Arabidopsis thaliana: one gene and its partners. The protein of the gene in region 3 purifies or fractionates together with the protein of the main gene of each other region. This does not show direct contact. Each region holds a gene or a part of one and is shown on either strand. Other genes may lie near its edges. The genes, in order: PDX1.2, AT3G11770, GRF10 and EMB3147.

The links.
Region 1: the proteins of GRF10 (region 3) and PDX1.2 purify together in Arabidopsis thaliana (affinity purification with mass spectrometry, with the first as the bait; one study listed by BioGRID). This does not show direct contact.
Region 2: the proteins of GRF10 (region 3) and AT3G11770 purify together in Arabidopsis thaliana (affinity purification with mass spectrometry, with the first as the bait; one study listed by BioGRID). This does not show direct contact.
Region 4: the proteins of GRF10 (region 3) and EMB3147 purify together in Arabidopsis thaliana (affinity purification with mass spectrometry, with the first as the bait; one study listed by BioGRID). This does not show direct contact.

The regions. Positions count from the first base shown.
Region 1 is NC_003074.8:5,443,393-5,447,057, forward strand, and holds PDX1.2 (pyridoxine biosynthesis 1.2), read right to left. Parts: upstream 1,938-3,665; 5' UTR 1,674-1,937; coding exon 729-1,673; 3' UTR 558-728; downstream 1-557. Other genes in the region: AT3G16040 (Translation machinery associated TMA7), read left to right, coding at 84-139, 214-255, 338-418. UniProt on the Arabidopsis thaliana protein: The protein has no function in the formation of pyridoxal 5'-phosphate.
Region 2 is NC_003074.8:3,720,787-3,724,759, reverse strand, and holds AT3G11770 (Polynucleotidyl transferase, ribonuclease H-like superfamily protein), read left to right. Parts: upstream 1-2,018; 5' UTR 2,019-2,165; intron 2,166-2,652; 5' UTR 2,653-2,667; coding exon 2,668-3,270; 3' UTR 3,271-3,464; downstream 3,465-3,973. Other genes in the region: AT3G11780 (MD-2-related lipid recognition domain-containing protein / ML domain-containing protein), read left to right, coding at 113-166, 327-434; AT3G11773 (Thioredoxin superfamily protein), read left to right, coding at 1,101-1,361, 1,430-1,771; AT3G11760 (structural maintenance of chromosomes flexible hinge domain protein), read right to left, coding at 3,637-3,973. UniProt on the Arabidopsis thaliana protein: 3'-to-5' exoribonuclease (RNase) specifically targeting single-stranded RNAs. Triggers miRNA accumulation in RNA-induced silencing complex (RISC), composed of miRNAs and AGO proteins, by degrading uridylated cleavage fragments.
Region 3 is NC_003070.9:7,878,243-7,883,122, reverse strand, and holds GRF10 (general regulatory factor 10), read left to right. Parts: upstream 1-1,727; 5' UTR 1,728-2,019; coding exon 2,020-2,086; intron 2,087-2,438; coding exon 2,439-2,745; intron 2,746-2,952; coding exon 2,953-3,040; intron 3,041-3,147; coding exon 3,148-3,257; intron 3,258-3,338; coding exon 3,339-3,487; coding exon of another isoform or gene 3,488-3,522; exon of another isoform or gene 3,523-3,835; coding exon 3,836-3,873; coding exon of another isoform or gene 3,874-3,879; exon of another isoform or gene 3,880-3,898; intron 3,899-3,971; coding exon 3,972-3,977; 3' UTR 3,978-4,364; downstream 4,365-4,880. Other genes in the region: MBD8 (methyl-CPG-binding domain 8), read left to right, coding at 1-587, 944-1,409. UniProt on the Arabidopsis thaliana protein: Is associated with a DNA binding complex that binds to the G box, a well-characterized cis-acting DNA regulatory element found in plant genes.
Region 4 is NC_003071.7:12,882,399-12,887,592, reverse strand, and holds EMB3147 (EMBRYO DEFECTIVE 3147), read left to right. Parts: upstream 1-1,816; 5' UTR 1,817-2,110; coding exon 2,111-2,401; intron 2,402-2,649; coding exon 2,650-2,735; intron 2,736-2,812; coding exon 2,813-2,879; intron 2,880-3,039; coding exon 3,040-3,182; intron 3,183-3,349; coding exon 3,350-3,398; intron 3,399-3,543; coding exon 3,544-3,681; intron 3,682-3,765; coding exon 3,766-3,846; intron 3,847-3,931; coding exon 3,932-4,108; intron 4,109-4,175; coding exon of another isoform or gene 4,176-4,194; coding exon 4,195-4,281; intron 4,282-4,368; coding exon 4,369-4,431; 3' UTR 4,432-4,645; downstream 4,646-5,194.

The DNA of each region.
Region 1 (3,665 bases), on a different chromosome or scaffold from region 3:
GAAAATTCATCAACCTTGTCATTTGAATTTATATGGTTCCTTATGGAATCCAACATTTTCTGCAAAATGAAATATGATTTCAGGAGGGAAATTGAAGCCTTTGAAGCAGCCCAAGTCTGGTAAGAAGGAGTACGATGAGGTATGATAGCAATTGTACCCTTGCCTTTTTCTTTAGCTCAACGTTTTAATGGTTTTACTCTGTTTCAAATGTAGCACGATATGGAGTTAATGCAGAAAAAGAAGGATGAAGAGAAGGTTAGTTTTCTCAATCTTAGTTTTGATTCATTGAAGGAGAAGGTGATTGCTGTTGATGATCTTGTTTATGTGATGAAAACAGGCACTTAAAGAACTCAGGGCCAAGGCTTCACAAAAAGGATCATTCGGAGGCTCAGGACTTAAGAAAAGTGGGAAGAAATAAGACTAAATCTGCCTCAATGTAATCCTATATCACCTTATATATGTTTGTCAATGTACCATGACTAGTTTATAAGTTATAACCATTAAAATCATGTTGCGATGTTGTAGAAGTAAATATAAATCTAAGACTTGTACCTCCTTCAAAAATTCTGCAACTTTTCATTGAGGTTTTAGTTGTTGCAAGTTTCGATTAAACCAAACGGATCATATGCACCAGCATTAACAAAAAACAACCGATATTTTGAGACTCAAAACCAAAAAAGATTACGACTTTAGAAGTCCCAAAAAGTTTGCAGCTTCGAACCTTTTCATCAAACACTGCCTTGGCCAAAGTCTTGAATCCTGTCACCACGAACATTTAAGCTCTCCATTGCATTCTCCAATCCAGAACTCATCTCAGCCAACACATGAGGATCATTGTAATGTTGAACAGCTTGAACAATGCTCCTAAGTTTCTTAAACGGATCAGGACCATCAAAAACCTCAGAACCCACAAAAACCCCATCACAACCTAGCTGCATCATCAAAGCTGCATCAGCAGGAGTCGTGATCCCACCTGATGCAAACTGAACAACCGGAACCCTACCCATCTGCTTAGTCTGAGCCACAAGATCATACGGTGCTGAAATCTTCTTAGCAAACGTGAACACCTCATCATCATCCATGTTGTTCAAGACTCTAACTTCACCCATCAATGACCTAACGTTCTTCACAGTCTCTGCAATGTTACCTGTTGCGGTTAAATCTCCTTGGATCCTAATCATAGCAGCACCTTCTCTGATTCTCCTCAAAGCTTCTCCTGTATCACGGCAACCACAAATGAACGGAGATCGGAAATTATGTTTGTTGATGAAATGATCATCATCCGCAACAGAGATAATCTCGCTCTCGTCAATGTAATCAACCGCAAGAGATTCCAAGATCTGAGCCTCAACAAAATGACCAACGCGAGCTCGTGCCATCACAGGTACAGACACAGCTCGTTTTACCTCTTTGATGAGAACCGGATCCGGCATACGACGAACACCGCCGCGAGATCGAACCGGATCTGAGACGATTACAGAACATGCGCCGGCGGATTCAGCGAGCTTAGCTTGGTTAACCGAGGAAACTTCAACAATGGCGCCGCCACGAAGTACCTGAGCTAATCCGACCTTAACAGAGAACGGATGGTTTTTCTTCGCGTCGGTAATGGCTGTGCCGCTGTAGAGAGTAACAGCTCCTTGATCTTGATCCGTCATAGCTTGATCCGCCATTTTTAGGTTCTGTGAGTTTTTAGTAACAGAGAGCTTTTCGCCGGAGAAACGGTGTTTGTTAGTAACACGATCTGAGACGAGAACGAGAAAGCTGCGTTGAAGGTGAGGAGAAATATAGAGAGAACGGAGAAGACGAAGAAGAGTGTGGTTTGGTCTAGAAACTTCTGAGACTGTTCGTCACTGAGAAATGGTTAGGGTGGAATCGCAAAACGGCGTCGTATGCAGAAAAAGGAAACTAAGTGGGCTTCCATGATGATGATTGATGACCCAAGTAGACGGACTTTTTCTTTATTTTTGTAAGAGCCGTTGGATGTGAATAGAACACGTGGCGTAATCGTGTGTAATTCTCGTCCAAAGTATTTTGAAATGATTGTTTTGATGGACACGAGTCAAAGAAGAAAACAAAGCATGAAATATTTACGAAATAAAGGGAGTGGTACATCTAACAACTGTCTTACTTAGTGGCCCACCATGTTATAAATTGTCACGACACTAGACGACGTCGTTTGTAGTGCTCCTCACGTGTTTCAGGTTGTTGGTTCTATACATTTTTACAGTTTTGAAGCAATTAAATAATTGAGTACGTAAATCTTACTCTTCCCAACTGTCACTACCACTGAGGATGTTTAATCATATAAAGTTCTGAATCTTGTATGATTTGATATTATATTAGATGAGACAAAATCAGTCGGCAAAATAAAAAGATGGAAGAAAAAAGTTCTTTTTTAAACCGTCATCACCGATTCACCATATATGGATGATGGTAAAAATGACTACAACGGTTTTGGATTGTTTGGCAGCTTGGGAAACAAAAAGATTGTAGGAGGATGTAGTTTACTTTCATCTCTTACGTAATGTGAGTACGCGGGCATGATCCAGAGATTTATACGGTGCAGTTGGTTTTATGACATATGGTAAAGAAAATTTGTTTAACATCAAAAAATGTGGTGATCGTTTACTGATTTGTCTTCTATCAAATCAGGAAGCAAGGTCTATGAAGAAGGGCTACGAAAGTGGTGAATACACACAACGTCAAGCAACTACGGCAAAGGATCGAAGCATTGTCTAAGAGATTTAATTACGAAACTTCAAACTCAAAGTAACACGTAGTTGTAAAAACGTTTTTTTTGGATTGGTAAAATTTTACATTCATTTTTTTTAAAATGTGGTGATGTTTTGCATGTGGGTGTAGATTTGAAAATACCAACGATTTGTTGTTGAGTTTTAGACACGAGTAAATAAATGGTGGGAAATCGATTAAACACACATATGAAGCGATGTATGAAAACGACATGCGAATTTTATATAAACAAATATCAGCTCATATTGACCCATGCGATCCCAAAATGAATGGAGAATGACGACGTCTGATCTGACCATATCATATGTATGGAAAAGACCATTTATGTTCAAGCTTCGAAATAAACTTGATGATATGATCTTCTCTATGTTTTGATTTGGAGTTGTTCGATTGCTCATTGAGAGAGATAATTAATAAATATGGTGACACTTTCTCTCTTATTCGTCTTAGTCATATCATATATTCATATCTCATGTTGATTTGTTATTTTGCTATCCAGGGAGACCACAACGAATAACACTCACAAACGACAAAGGGCGCGACACATTTGCTTTTGCAAAATTCAAACTTGAAAGCTAGAAAATTAATAATATATAGTCCTGCTCTATAATAGAATACTATAAAATAGTAAAACAAAGCCACTGAATTCAGACAATCCAAATTTTAATGCTATCATGATCACTCTAAAAAACAACTTTTACTTATACAAGCGTGAGAATAATTTGGTCAAAAAAGTTACCATTACTTTTGAATTCAAAAACGTTAATTATCGAGGTTTAGCTAATATAACTTAATTTTTAGTGATATTATCAGATATAGTTGACGTATGTAAATTTAACATTGTAGAAGTTCATATTAGTAAATGTAATCCGTATGATTTTCTAATGAATTTAATTGAATTTTAGAAAAAA
Region 2 (3,973 bases), on a different chromosome or scaffold from region 3:
GATATAATGACATGATGATGCATTATGCTCATTTGAAGTTGATGTAATTCTATTGCAGTCATAACAAATTGCCTAGTGTAATCGAATCTGTTTAGTTGGATAACTGAAATAGACTGAGAAGAGGTTTAACTTGGTTTCGATAGCATATTATGAGTTCCATGTGGAAGTATTATGTCTATTAAGCGGCTAAAGTGAAGAAGTTTAACCTTCTTGTTGTCAAGATTTGCTGGTTATGGTTTCTATAGTTATATGTTTGTCATACCAAACTTTCGTTTTGTGTTTCTGCATCTAAGGAAGGACCAGTCTAATCCTTTTCTTTCTCATAGGGTTCATACTCACTAAAAATGAAGATGCTTGATGGACGCAAGAAGGAGTTAACTTGCATCAAGTTCTCATTTGATATTGGATTTGGATCCTCCGTGGCCGACATGTAGAGCTGATTTGCTCGACGGGATACACCATCTTGTTCTATACCATGGAACCACTCTCATTTATTTTGTATAAAATACACTCTCCTGCTATACATAATTGTTGATCAAAAACCCTTTGAAAATTCTCATTCTGGACCATTCATGAATCCCCCCATTTATAGAAAAAACAAAGTAATGAATTATTGATTAGGTTTTATAGAGCTGTGGTTAGTTCTAGTTGCAACCTTAAAGCTGAGCCTACTTTAACCAATAGTACATCATTACATCCACGTTCATGGAATTATAAAGACGTGACATACATCATCATTCAACCAAACGTAAACCATTAATGACTTATCAGAAAAGATGAATTTTTTCATAGCTTCAATATACCAACATGTTAAAAGGGACATTCCTCCCCTTTTGCTATGTATTTGGACAAAGTTGGGCTAAAGTTGGGTAAATTCAATGTTTTTTGTTACCCTAATTTAGCTTATCGGTTATCTTCTTTAGTACTACAATGACCCGTCAAAGGAGAAACTTTTGAAAAGCTAACCCACAAAGTAGCTTTTTTGTTCAGTTGAGTACTCATTTCGTTTTTCTCTTATCCAGTCTCATGTTTGTCAATCTTGATTAGGTTTTTGCCTCTCCTCTTTCACAACTTCTTATCAAAGGTTGAAGGTTGAAGCAATGATGGATATGAAGGAGAGAATGGTGAAGAAACTTAAGCTTATTACATCTCTTGGGAACTTGAAGCAGGCGATAGCTCTCCACAAAAGCAATCTTGATCACACAATCTTTCATCAAATAGATGAGAAAGAGTGTCTTACGCCAACGACAATTGAGGTTTCTGAGGATAAACGACTTCAACAGAATCTTGATGAGCTTTTGTGGGCTTTTGAAGAGAAATGTGTAGCTGGTGGGCAAGATTCTGTTGCTTCTTCACAACAAGTCTACGAGGAGTGAGAAAGACTTTCGAAGATTGCAGAAGAGTGAGATTCTTGCTAGAGAATCATAAGGCATCATTCCGAGAAAGAGATGTTTCAATGGATTGTGAGTACAAAGAAGAGATGTGGAGATTGCTTGGGGAGCAAGTTACACCTCCTAGGCTCTTCATAAAGTGTAAGTACATTGGTGGAGCAGACGAGGTGGTGTCTCTTAACGAAAACGAGAAGCTCAAGAAGCTTCTAGAAGTGTTTTCATCAGCTAAGTCGCGGCAGTGTGAGATGTGCGAGAACGAAAGATTTTTGATATGTTCGAAATGCAATGGGAGGTCGAGAGTTGTTGCAGAGCACGAAACCTGGAAGAGATGCATAGAGTGTAATGAGAATGGTCTTGTGAAATGTGCTCTTTGTACTTAATCCAAGATTCCAAGTGCTTAATAACAATTTATTTATATGACTATAACTAATTGTTTTATATGAAACAAAATGCTATGAATATACAAGGAAAATTTTCGAAAACAATACTCAAGGAGTTGAGTGAGTTTTCCAAAATGTTAAACCAAAATCAACCAAAGTGAAGAAAAAAATAATGTTCTATTGACTCTTCTAAAATCCTTCTACTACGGAACACGTATGGCGACATTCGCACGTGCGATACCCGTAGGTAAAGACACGTGTCATTCCTTCAATGGGCAGGACCGTACTTTCACTTGCGTACTTTTCCTTCTTCTTCCGACAACAAACCCAGAAACAGTCTTTCTCTCTTCCGACTCCGTTTACTAGATCAGCCTTCTCGCACCGAAATCTCAAGGTTCGTGTTCCTCTTTTCTGTCTTTTTGGATTGAAAGATTTTTCTCATGTTTATATATAAATCTTCAATCCAAATCAACAAAAGCATGTTCCATCCGATGAACTTATTTGGGGACTTTCCTCTGTCTAATCCACACTTTATAAAAATCGTACCTTTGTATTGTGTTCATAGAACCCAAACGCTGATTAGAGTAAATTTGTTGTTCTGGCAAAAAACCCAATTAGCTCTGAATGCGTCTACACATTTCTTGAATCGGTCATTCTATTGCTGCTACACACTCAAAATCGATATTTCAATGTCTTTGTGAATTGGAAAACATATTGAAAATCTTTGCTGCTTTATCAGTTTTTCATTCGATTCATCGCTGAGCACATTCACAACAAAAACAGATCACTGATTATTAGAATTGTATTGATTCTGAGTGTCTCTCCAAGCTAATGGATCTATATGATGTTGTGTCTAATGTGTAATGTGAATATGTTTCCAGTGATTTCAGACCACAATGGCCTCATTCGATGGGCAAGGGTTTATGATGGTTGATAATTCTTGGGTCCAGACCAAAGCCATTGATGTTGAATCAACAACCGATATCTCTCCTTACCTTTCCAAGATCCTTGAAGATTCCGTCTGGAATGGAAACCGGTCCATTGTCTTTGATGTGTATTGGGATGTCAAATCAGTTAGCACAAAGTCCGAATGGCGTCTATGCTCAGTGAAGTTTAGCACTAAAAACTTCTGTCTCTTCCTCCGCCTGCCGAACCCGTTCTGTGATAATCTCAAGGATCTTTATCGCTTCTTTGCTTCCAAATTTGTCACATTTGTCGGTGTCCAGATTCAAGAAGACCTCGCTTTGCTTAAAGAAAACCACGGTATTGTGATCCGAAGCTCGTTGGAGATTGGGAAACTAGCTGCGAAAGCCCGAGGTACTCCAATTGTTGAGTTCCTTGGAACCAGAGAATTAGCTCACAAGATTCTTTGGTATGACATGAGTAGGCTTGATTCTATTCAGTCCAAGTGGGATGAAGCCAGCTCTAATGATCGTCTTGAAGCTGCTGCCATTGAAGGTTGGCTTATTTTCAATGTCTACGATCAATTGCAGCAGTGATTTTTCGTGGCAATGTTCTTCATGTAACTCTTATGTTAACCTTCTTGATCAAATGGATTTGTGAGATTGCGCTTGATTGCGCTTGATTGATTCATGTTGTGTATTGTGATGAGTGAACAATACTGTCTGAATAAAACATGCCCGGCCTTGTCTTTTTGTCTGAAGATTTTGAGATTATGGTACAATGCCAAAATTTTAAGCTGTAAAAACATAATGAACCAAAAAGAGACAGCGAAATAGAACGAGCAAAAATGTAAATTCCTTGGATAGTTAGATACAAACTGGTTTAACTCTAAATCACATTCACAAGTTAGTTACAAAACTTACAAGAAACTCAACAAAACGTTAGCAACTCTGCCTAGGCTTTTATAGACTGGTAATCTCTGCGTTTGTGGTGTAATGAAACTCGATCTGTAAACGGTGATGAACAGGCGCGGTTGAGGCTAATCCTTTCTTGATATCCTCTTGCAACTCCCTAATTGGTATGGCCGCCAAGAAATTCTTAATATACTCTTTACATGACTCCTTCCCTCTGCTCAAAATCTCTGATTCAGGTTCTGATTCGGATCCTGCTTCCTCTGTGTGAAGAATCTTGTGGATGACGGTTTTATGGTCGAATTTCAAAACGTAAGCTTGATCACAACCCTCGTAAAGCCTTTCTCCAAGTGTGTCAATGATATAGTAAGCTTCTTTTTCAACTTTG
Region 3 (4,880 bases):
ACCTCCGGGAATAAAATAAAGAGGAAGCGTGGACGGCCGAGGAAGATTCGGAACCCTAGCGAAGAGAATGAGGTTTTGGATTTAACTGGTGAAGCATCTACGTATGTGTTTGTAGATAAAACTAGTAGCAATTTGGGAATGGTGAGTAGAGTTGGTAGTTCAGGAATCTCCCTGGATTCAAATTCAGTGAAGAGAAAGAGAGGTCGTCCTCCAAAGAATAAGGAAGAGATAATGAACCTAGAGAAGAGAGACAGTGCAATTGTGAATATTTCTGCGTTTGATAAGGAAGAGTTAGTAGTGAACTTGGAGAACAGAGAAGGTACAATTGTGGATCTCTCTGCATTGGCTAGTGTTTCAGAGGATCCATACGAAGAGGAGCTGAGGAGGATCACCGTTGGGTTGAAGACAAAGGAAGAGATCTTAGGTTTCTTGGAACAATTGAATGGTGAATGGGTGAATATAGGGAAGAAGAAGAAAGTTGTGAATGCTTGTGATTATGGAGGATACTTGCCTAGAGGATGGAGACTTATGCTCTACATCAAAAGGAAAGGTAGCAATTTGTTGCTGGCTTGTCGCAGATACATAAGGTATAATAATGTTTATGTTCTTCACTGGTTCTGTTTCTAGTTGGATTATAAAATAGACCTAGTATTGGCTGTGGAATTGGTTATAGCAAAACTAACACTTTGTTACTATTGAAGATATAGTTTTATAGGATTTGGTATATGATGTTTTAGTTTCTGCTGCTAGACTTTTGATTGTCCCTCTTGTTTGTTTCTCCATCTTCTTGAACATGATAAAAGATGTTTACATGAATTAAGGGCTGCTACTGAAATTGCTTATAGTTCGTTTGTGTACTCTCTGCCGTTCTAGGATTCTAGCTGTTGTTATCACTTTTAGTTCAGGATTCTGAAAATTTTCTCTTTTGTTTTTGATTATATAGCCCTGATGGGCAACAGTTTGAAACCTGCAAGGAAGTCTCCACATATCTACGATCACTTCTTGAATCCCCAAGCAAGAACCAACATTATTACTTGCAATCTGACAACAAGACTCTAGGACAACAACCAGTGATAGCTAACGAATCTTTACTAGGTAACTCTGATTCCATGGACTCTGAGACAATGCAGTACCTTGAGAGTGGAAGAACCAGCAGTGAGGTGTTTGAGGAAGCAAAAGCCGTAGAGAATGGCAATGAAGCAGATCGAGTGAAAACCAGTCTGATGCAGAAAGATGATAATGCAGATTTTCTGAATGGAGTTGAGGACAACGACGATGATATGAAGAAAAGAGATGGTAACATGGAGAATTTGGCGACTCTATCGAATTCAGAAATGACGAAAAGCCTACCGACAACGACTAATGAGCTTCAACAGTATTTCAGCTCACAAATCAACCGAGTTCAGTGACCATTTCTTTTACCTGGAACAAATTGTTTTCTCATTCTAGTTCAGATTTTATATTTTATGCAAACTAAAAGCGTGTTGTAGCTAACTACAGGATATAGAATTTGAAAGGGCCATGTACAAAACATTTGACAGAAACCAAATTTTTTCTTCAAAAGAAAATTTCTTTGAGTTTCAATCTGTGATTGATTTGGATTTGGATTTGGATTGGCATAAAAAAAATCTATGATTTGGATTGTGTTATATAATATAGAAAAGAACACAAACCCTTAAAATAATGGACAAGAGGACATGTCTTTCTCCGTTTATCACGGTCAGCGTCGTTAACCTTTTACGTTATTGACTAGATCGGGGTTTAATAAGAAACATATATTAGTTTTAGGTTCTTTCTGTGTAAAAACTAAACCTTTGTGGCTACTTTATAATTTATAAAACTTATGTTTCTGAGTTTTGTTGACTAAAAAAAGTAGATCCAACGGCTGATATAATACCACTATGAGAGGATCCTAGGGTTACTACTAATCTCGAAATCAATCAAATCAAAGCATCCATTTTTGATTCAGACTTCAGAGAGACAGAGAAGGAAGAAGAAGAAGAAGAAGAAGAAAAAACTATGGAGAATGAGAGGGAAAAGCAGGTTTACTTGGCTAAGCTCTCCGAGCAAACCGAAAGATACGATGGTATTTTCCGATTTCTGGATCTCTATTCAGAAAATGATTTGTTCATGTTTCTGAAAAAATCCGATCTTTTATTGCTCCGATCGAAATTGTTTTTACATTTCCATAGATTTTCTTTGTAGCCCTTTACCGATTTGTATGTTTCTGGGCTGTTACTTGATCTGGACTTTTAGATGCGACCTTTAAGTAATTTCTTGTTTAATGTTGTTTAGATACTCTGATCACTCTTGATCTTATCTTGATATAATTTTATACTTACTGTTGTCGAATCTCTTAGCATGAAAATGAAATAGATCTACGTTTTTGGAAGCAAATTCAAAGATCGGATATTTTTTTTTTGTTGGTGATGATGCAGAAATGGTGGAGGCGATGAAGAAAGTTGCTCAGCTTGATGTGGAGCTAACTGTGGAAGAGAGGAATCTTGTATCTGTAGGGTACAAGAATGTGATTGGTGCAAGGAGAGCATCATGGAGAATACTATCTTCCATTGAGCAGAAGGAAGAGTCCAAGGGAAATGATGAAAATGTCAAGAGGCTTAAGAATTATCGTAAGAGAGTTGAAGATGAGCTTGCTAAAGTTTGTAATGACATCTTGTCTGTCATTGATAAGCATCTCATTCCATCGTCTAACGCTGTGGAGTCAACTGTCTTTTTCTACAAAATGTGAGTGTCATCTTTATTATACTCTGACCATTCATGTGATATTTGTGTGACTAAGAATGAGATCATTTCCGTTTGACTAAAGTTAAATGTTTAAGTTATTACATAGCTACCACTCTTGCTTGTGTTCTTCCTGAAATGATGATGATTCATGAACTTTTCCTTGTTTCACTGTTTTGACTTTACGTGTTTTTTTTTCTTTCTATGTAGGAAAGGAGATTACTATCGCTATCTTGCGGAGTTCAGTTCTGGTGCTGAACGCAAGGAAGCTGCAGATCAGTCTCTTGAAGCATATAAGGTCCTTTGATCATGTTTATTTGTTTTCTTATTTTTGTGCCACCCCTCTTATATTTGAGCTGGGAATAACCTAAGACAAGTCTTGCTTTTTTCGTACTGGGAATGTAGGCTGCTGTTGCTGCTGCAGAGAATGGTTTGGCACCCACACATCCAGTTAGACTTGGCTTGGCGTTGAACTTTTCAGTTTTCTACTATGAGATCTTGAACTCTCCCGAAAGGTTTGTTTTTGTATTTTGGATTGAACATAATAGTGGAATCTGTGGTCATTTTCTGACACTATGAAACTATGTATTGTACAGCGCATGCCAATTGGCTAAGCAAGCATTCGATGATGCAATTGCTGAACTTGACAGCCTCAACGAGGAATCATACAAAGACAGCACTCTTATTATGCAGCTACTTAGAGACAATCTCACCTTGTGGACTTCAGACCTTAATGAGGAAGGAGGTATTCTTATTTTCTTTTGTTTCCCTATCTCATGATCAAATGGTTTCCTTAGAATCAAATGAGCTGTTAAGAGCGTTACCTTGGAGTAAAAATGTTGATGTTTGGGAACTCGTAACCATTAACCATCTGTCTATATTTGAATTAAACCGTCCTTTATGCATGTATTGCTATGTAGATCTTTCATTTTAGTTTTGAAAGCCTCAACAAAAAACATACCAATCTACCATCTCATAGTTATTGGATTCTAGCTAATCTTGTAAAAGTTATATGTTTGTAGCAGAAAACATTACTAGTTTCTTGTTTCTCTTCCAAAGCTTTTTCACTCACCTTTTTTTTTTCCCCTCTTAGATGAGAGAACCAAAGGTGCTGATGAGCCTCAAGATGAGGTATGAAAAGCCAGTTTTGTTATAAGTTAAGCTACTTACTGATTTTTCCATTTTGCATTGACAATTAGACCACTCATGGAATTACTGAATCATTGCAGAACTAAATCCTCTGTGAGAAGAGAAACGACTCTTGCTGCATCCTGAATCTTGAAGTGAAGACAGTAAGTGTCGTTGTTTGTTACTCGAATGTGTAATTTTTAATCTATGTCTTTCTTGATGGTGTTTTCCAGATTCTTGAACTTTTCACAACACAACACTGCGTTGCGTATCTTCAACCCTCTTATGATGTGGTTGAATTCTGTTTTACGCTTAGTTTGCTTCTTTTGTTGTTGAATTGAGCCAGCAGGCATGATTTGGGTTTTTGTTTATCAGAATATTAGGCGTATCATGGTCTCAAAATTAAAAACCAAAACAGACAAAGCTTTATTCGAAGTTTGTAATAACTAATAACTCCTTGCAAAAATCATGAAAGTCTGAATTCAAGAGGCTCTTAATAATTTGCATAAGTGATCCCAAACTTCACAACTTTTCAATTTGTGGATGTTTGCCCTCTTTGTGGCCAAGGAATCATCCTCAAGTGTGTTTCTCTACGGTGGTTTGGTCCGTAAGTGTGTGACATAATAATGGTTTGGTTCTCCCAACATGACCCTCAAAAAGGATCTCTATGCTCTAAATATGGGACTCTTGTAAGTTGTAATTGTAACCAAATGCTATCACAAACTCTCTAACTCGTACCAACACTCATTGTGTCTAATCCAATCGAGAGCCCTCAAAGTCTAAAACATGTTAATCAAACTGTGAACCAGTTAATCCTTATAGAATCAGATATCTTTTTGTCAACCATCTAAATAACATTTTTGTCACGAATTGACCACTTCCCTCGAGAGATTTTGTAGTGTTTTCTTTAATATTTTTATATGTCCAATGAATAATAATTTCATACATCTATCGAAAACTTCAATTTTGAGCTACAAATGATCAATTCAAGTATTCACTTGGCCCAACTT
Region 4 (5,194 bases), on a different chromosome or scaffold from region 3:
CGATGTACTTTTGTTATTTTCCTCGTAATAGAGTGAGTGTTTTCATTTTTCCGATTAAAAATTTACCAAATAAAAGCTGTGTTAGTTAATCTTCTTTTTCTAGCTGACTTTCCCAAACAACTTTATTAGTTATTAACTTAATATGAACCCACAAGATACTTTTAATTACATTATCATACATAAACTTTTCTTGCAAAAATAGCATCATATCGATCTTTAATTGGCCATCTTTACGAGAAAATAATTCTTGAAAAAGAACGTAAATAGTGTGGTTGCGATTCCGTTGATCAAAATTTACCATTAAACTGAAAAAAAAAAATAGTGATCCATGAATTACATTTCTGTATAACTTCTTCCACAAAAAGATGATTTTTTTTGGTCAACTTTCTCCAAAATTCTCAAAACAATTCGCCGTCAATGCCTATAACTCGACATAAGTAAATTGACTACAACTGCCATAAGATTGTAAGTTTGGTGGTCTGTTGGTCATCCTGATGGAATGTAGTTGTACCATTTTGAACTATAATAGAATCTAATGAGATAGTTTTGATCGATTGTTATAAATTGGATAACCCTAAATGTAAAAGTACAAAAAATACATTCTTCGTTGTGGAATCCTAATAAACAAAATTGTCCTCTGGATACTTAATAATTCAAACGTCATGACATAAGTGATCCAAACATCACAAAAAAAATTCATAATCTATTGGAACAAAAGGTTGATAGACTTACATGAGTGGTATCCATTCCAATCGACACTAAGATTTACTGATCCCAAGTTGAATTCATGCGAAAATATTTACACTAAAATGGTTAGAAATAGGATTTGGTATGGTAAACATTTTTGGGATACTCTTTATTGGTCTCGATTTTGCAATCAACGTCGCAAATAATTGATTTACGATATCTTTTACCTCACACGAAACGTGTACACAATTGTGTATTCTTTCTTGCACAACCCTAGACCTTAGTTTAAACTTCAATCTTCTCCGCAATGAAATAAAATACACAATTATACATAATTTCCATAATCCAACATTTTTTTTTTTATATCTAAAAGCACCTCCAATGGAGAGAATCTGTCGAAGGGTTCTCTCTATTTTTTTATGATTAAATTTCAAAAAAATTAACAAAAGAGCTTTTTTCTTTTTTTTGGTTTTTTATAGTCCAATGGTAGGTTCTTTTAGAAGAATTCTCTGGAAAAACAATATTAATATAAAATTATTTTATTTCATACAATTTAATAATTATTACAAAGTATAAAATATTAAACATACATTAATTTGAAATATTATAAAATAGATATGAAAAAAAACGGAATAAAGATCAGTTGTTCTGTTGATTGTTACAACATTTAGTCACGATATACAAGAGAAAATGACTTGATTCATACCTAATTTGGAGAATCCGTCAACGATTACTCTCCAAATCATATTTTCTATTCTCCGATTGAGTTTATCTTCCGGTGATAGTCATCACCATCTGCAATGTTATAAAAGTCATGCAGTACGTACTTAGGTGCTAGAGTACCGCCTATTTCGGATTAATCGTCGACTAGGCGTTAAATCAAATTGGCAAATATGCTATAGTTTATATAAATATATAGTATATATAACTTTTAATCAGTCATATTTTTAAAATTTGATGTAGCATTGTGGTCTGGAAGGTTGTTTTTGGTAGCCAAAGTGATAAGTTCGATACCTACAAGTGGACAATATTATGCATTTTAGTTAAAACGAGGGGTACATCTGTAATTTCACGTACAAAGTCAACTGCTTTTCCTACAAAACCTAATCGCCGTCGTCAAACCTGAGTTTTTTTTTGTTCTGATTTTTTCGTATTTCTTCTATTTCCTCATCATTTTATCGCATCTCTTTACCAAAATAACACAAATACAACATTAATCTTTGGATGATTGACCACAAAATGGAATTTAACGTAGTCTTGAACACACGAATTTTTTTGTTTCTTTTGTTAAGCTTTACATCCAATCAAATTTGGACACGTGTCCGTTTCTCTCCTTTCTTCAAAAACTTCCCCCAGCTACCATCATCTTCGTTAACTCCGCTAAAGCTTTTTTAAAAAGGATTACTACTGTTTACTTCTCTGAATGCGTTCACTGCTTCACCGTACTATCTTACTCACATCTCCGTCTCATTCTCTTATCCGGCGCACTTCTCTCTCCGCCATGGCCACCACCGCCTCCTCTTCCTTGCTCCTCCCTTCCATATCTCTCAACAATCTCTCCTCCTCTAAAAATGCCTCCTTTGGCTTCGCCGCCAAGAATCTCAGCCGATCTAGGATTTCTATGAGCGTCTCTGCTGGATCTCAGAGTACTACTGTTCACGATTCTCTGTTCGCTGATTACAAACCCACCTCTGCTTTTCTCTTTCCCGGTCAGGTAACTTCCGATTACATGTTATCAATCTGAACAATGAAAATGTGGACTCTGATTGATTTCGTATCAATTTAGGAAATTTGGAATTGCCCAGATTGAAAAGTTTGCTAATTTTGATCTGATTGATGTGATTTTAATTACAATGTAGGGTCTTCATCATAACGTCATATTCTTTGCTTGTAATCTCTCAGAACTCGTTTCAATTTTTAGATCAAATGTGACAAAGTTTAGATGAATTTGCTATGTCTCAGGGAGCTCAAGCAGTAGGAATGGGAAAAGAGTCTCAGAGTGTTGGAGCAGCTGGAGAGTTGTATAAGAAAGCTAATGATATCTTAGGGTATGTTCCTTTGTTTAAAGTTGAAACCTTTTTGTTTGTTTTTGTGAATGAATAAACTATATGGTGGCTTTCTGCAGGTATGATCTTTTGGATATTTGTGTTAATGGACCAAAAGAGAAGCTTGATTCTACGGTCATAAGCCAGGTATCTTTGCAACTTTTGGTTAGGGACAACTTCAGATTTATGATCTTCTTTCTTGTCTGTTGTCACCTAACTCTAGCAAAACTTAATTTTTATGTGATGTTTCCTTTTAGTATGTACATTTTGGTATGATGTCTAAGTTATTGGTCTATCATTTTCTCAGCCTGCTATTTATGTCACAAGTTTAGCAGCAGTTGAATTGCTCCGTGTTCGTGAAGGCGGAGAACAAATAATTAACTCGGTTGATGTGACTTGCGGTCTCAGTTTGGGAGAGTATACTGCTCTGGCTTTTGCTGGAGCCTTCAGGTTAGTTAACATCTGAATCAATATCCTTAACTGAATGATAGAGGTATCAAATCTCGGATTTTCAAATATCATTGTAAGAAAGTATGTCACTTTGTTCCCTTTTACCTATGTGCATCATCACCTAACTTACTTTTGTTCTTTTCTCTGTTACTGTTTTTATTCTCAAGCTTCGAGGACGGGCTGAAGCTTGTAAAACTTAGAGGAGAAGCTATGCAGGTAAGATTGAACTCTGCTCTGTATATCCTTCATTGACTATGTCAAGTTTAGGTTGATGTTGTGACGGCTGAACTTTGTAGTGATCTTATATACCATTCGAACAGCTGCATTGACTTTTAGTTTTTGATAAAATGACTTTCTTCAGGCTGCTGCAGATGCTGCTAAGAGTGCCATGGTTAGTATCATAGGGTTGGACTCAGAAAAGGTTCAGCAGTTGTGTGATGCAGCAAATCAAGAAGTAGATGAAGCTGACAAAGTTCAGATCGCAAATTACTTATGTCCGGTATATATGTCTTCCATGAATCTTTTGCATTCTAGACTTGTATAAAATCATTTTCACATTCCTTTATGTGGTATACTGTTACAGGGTAATTACGCAGTATCTGGAGGTCTTAAAGGAATCGAAGTTGTTGAAGCCAAAGCTAAGTCATTCAAAGCACGAATGACGGTATCCTCTCTCTCTAATTCCATTTATGTTATGAAATCTTCCTCGATGCTATCAGAAACATGATTGTTGGCGGTTGGTTCTGTAGGTGCGTCTAGCTGTTGCAGGTGCTTTCCACACTAGTTTCATGGAACCAGCAGTCTCGAGATTAGAAGCTGCATTGGCAGCCACAGAGATCAGAAGTCCGAGGATCCCAGTGATCTCGAATGTCGATGCACAGCCTCATGCAGATCCAGACACGATCAAGAAGATACTTGCACGCCAGGTAATAAATCAATACTCAGAGAACTATGTGAATTATTTCTCTTTTGGCGACGCTATATAAAAAAAAGATGCAAATGTTGACTACAGGTGACATCTCCAGTCCAATGGGAGACAACAGTAAAGACTCTCTTATCCAAAGGACTTAAAAGCAGCTACGAATTGGGACCTGGAAAGGTATTTTTCTATCTTCGTAAACTCATTATAGATGGAGGTTTCTTCTTCTTCTTCTAAGTTGTGTGTTTTGTGGCATTCAAACACCAGGTAATTGCAGGGATATTCAAGAGAGTAGATAAAAGCGCAAGTTTCGAAAACATCAGTGCTTGAGAGTATTGCTAGCTTTTTGTTCACATGTATTTGAGTTGAGAATCATTGATAATAAGTAAATTTACAACGTATGTCTGTGGATCTCTCTAGTGCTTCAATAGTTTGGAATTCAAAGTTTTGTATGGAATATTTATGTGACACTTTACAGGATATATGTATTGAGATATCTTTTTAGTTTCAGTTGAAGTGAAGTGACAAAATCTCAAATTTGTGTTACTAGTTTTTGGGTTTTGCTGCTCAATCAAAAAAAAAAGTAAAAGAAATGAGTGAGCTCAGATTATAGCGAGGTTAATATCATATCCGAAGATTCATCACCACAGCTCAAGATATTTTCATCACTGCTCACATGCTACTAGATGCACCAGCCGGGAATCGAACCCGGGTCTGTACCGTGGCAGGGTACTATTCTACCACTAGACCACTGGTGCTTGTTGTTTCAACTACGTAAGTTTAGTTAATTGTATGTTATTTGAAGTCGAGTGATCTGGTTGAAGGTTTTATGCTATGCTAATCATGGTTTATGGTTTTGATCTTAGCGGGTATTTATTGGATGGTGATTTTACCCAGTTCCTAATGATACAAGATGAATCAGTTTATACATGTCAAAATTCTTGTTTTTCAAATGTTTCAACATGTATATGTGTTGTATCATCTATTGTAAATTAAGTACTTGATCTTTCTCTTATGACTTTCAGGAATATAGTTACAGTTCCAATGAGAAGTTCATAAAATGGACAGTGACAAACATGAACGTTACTAACCG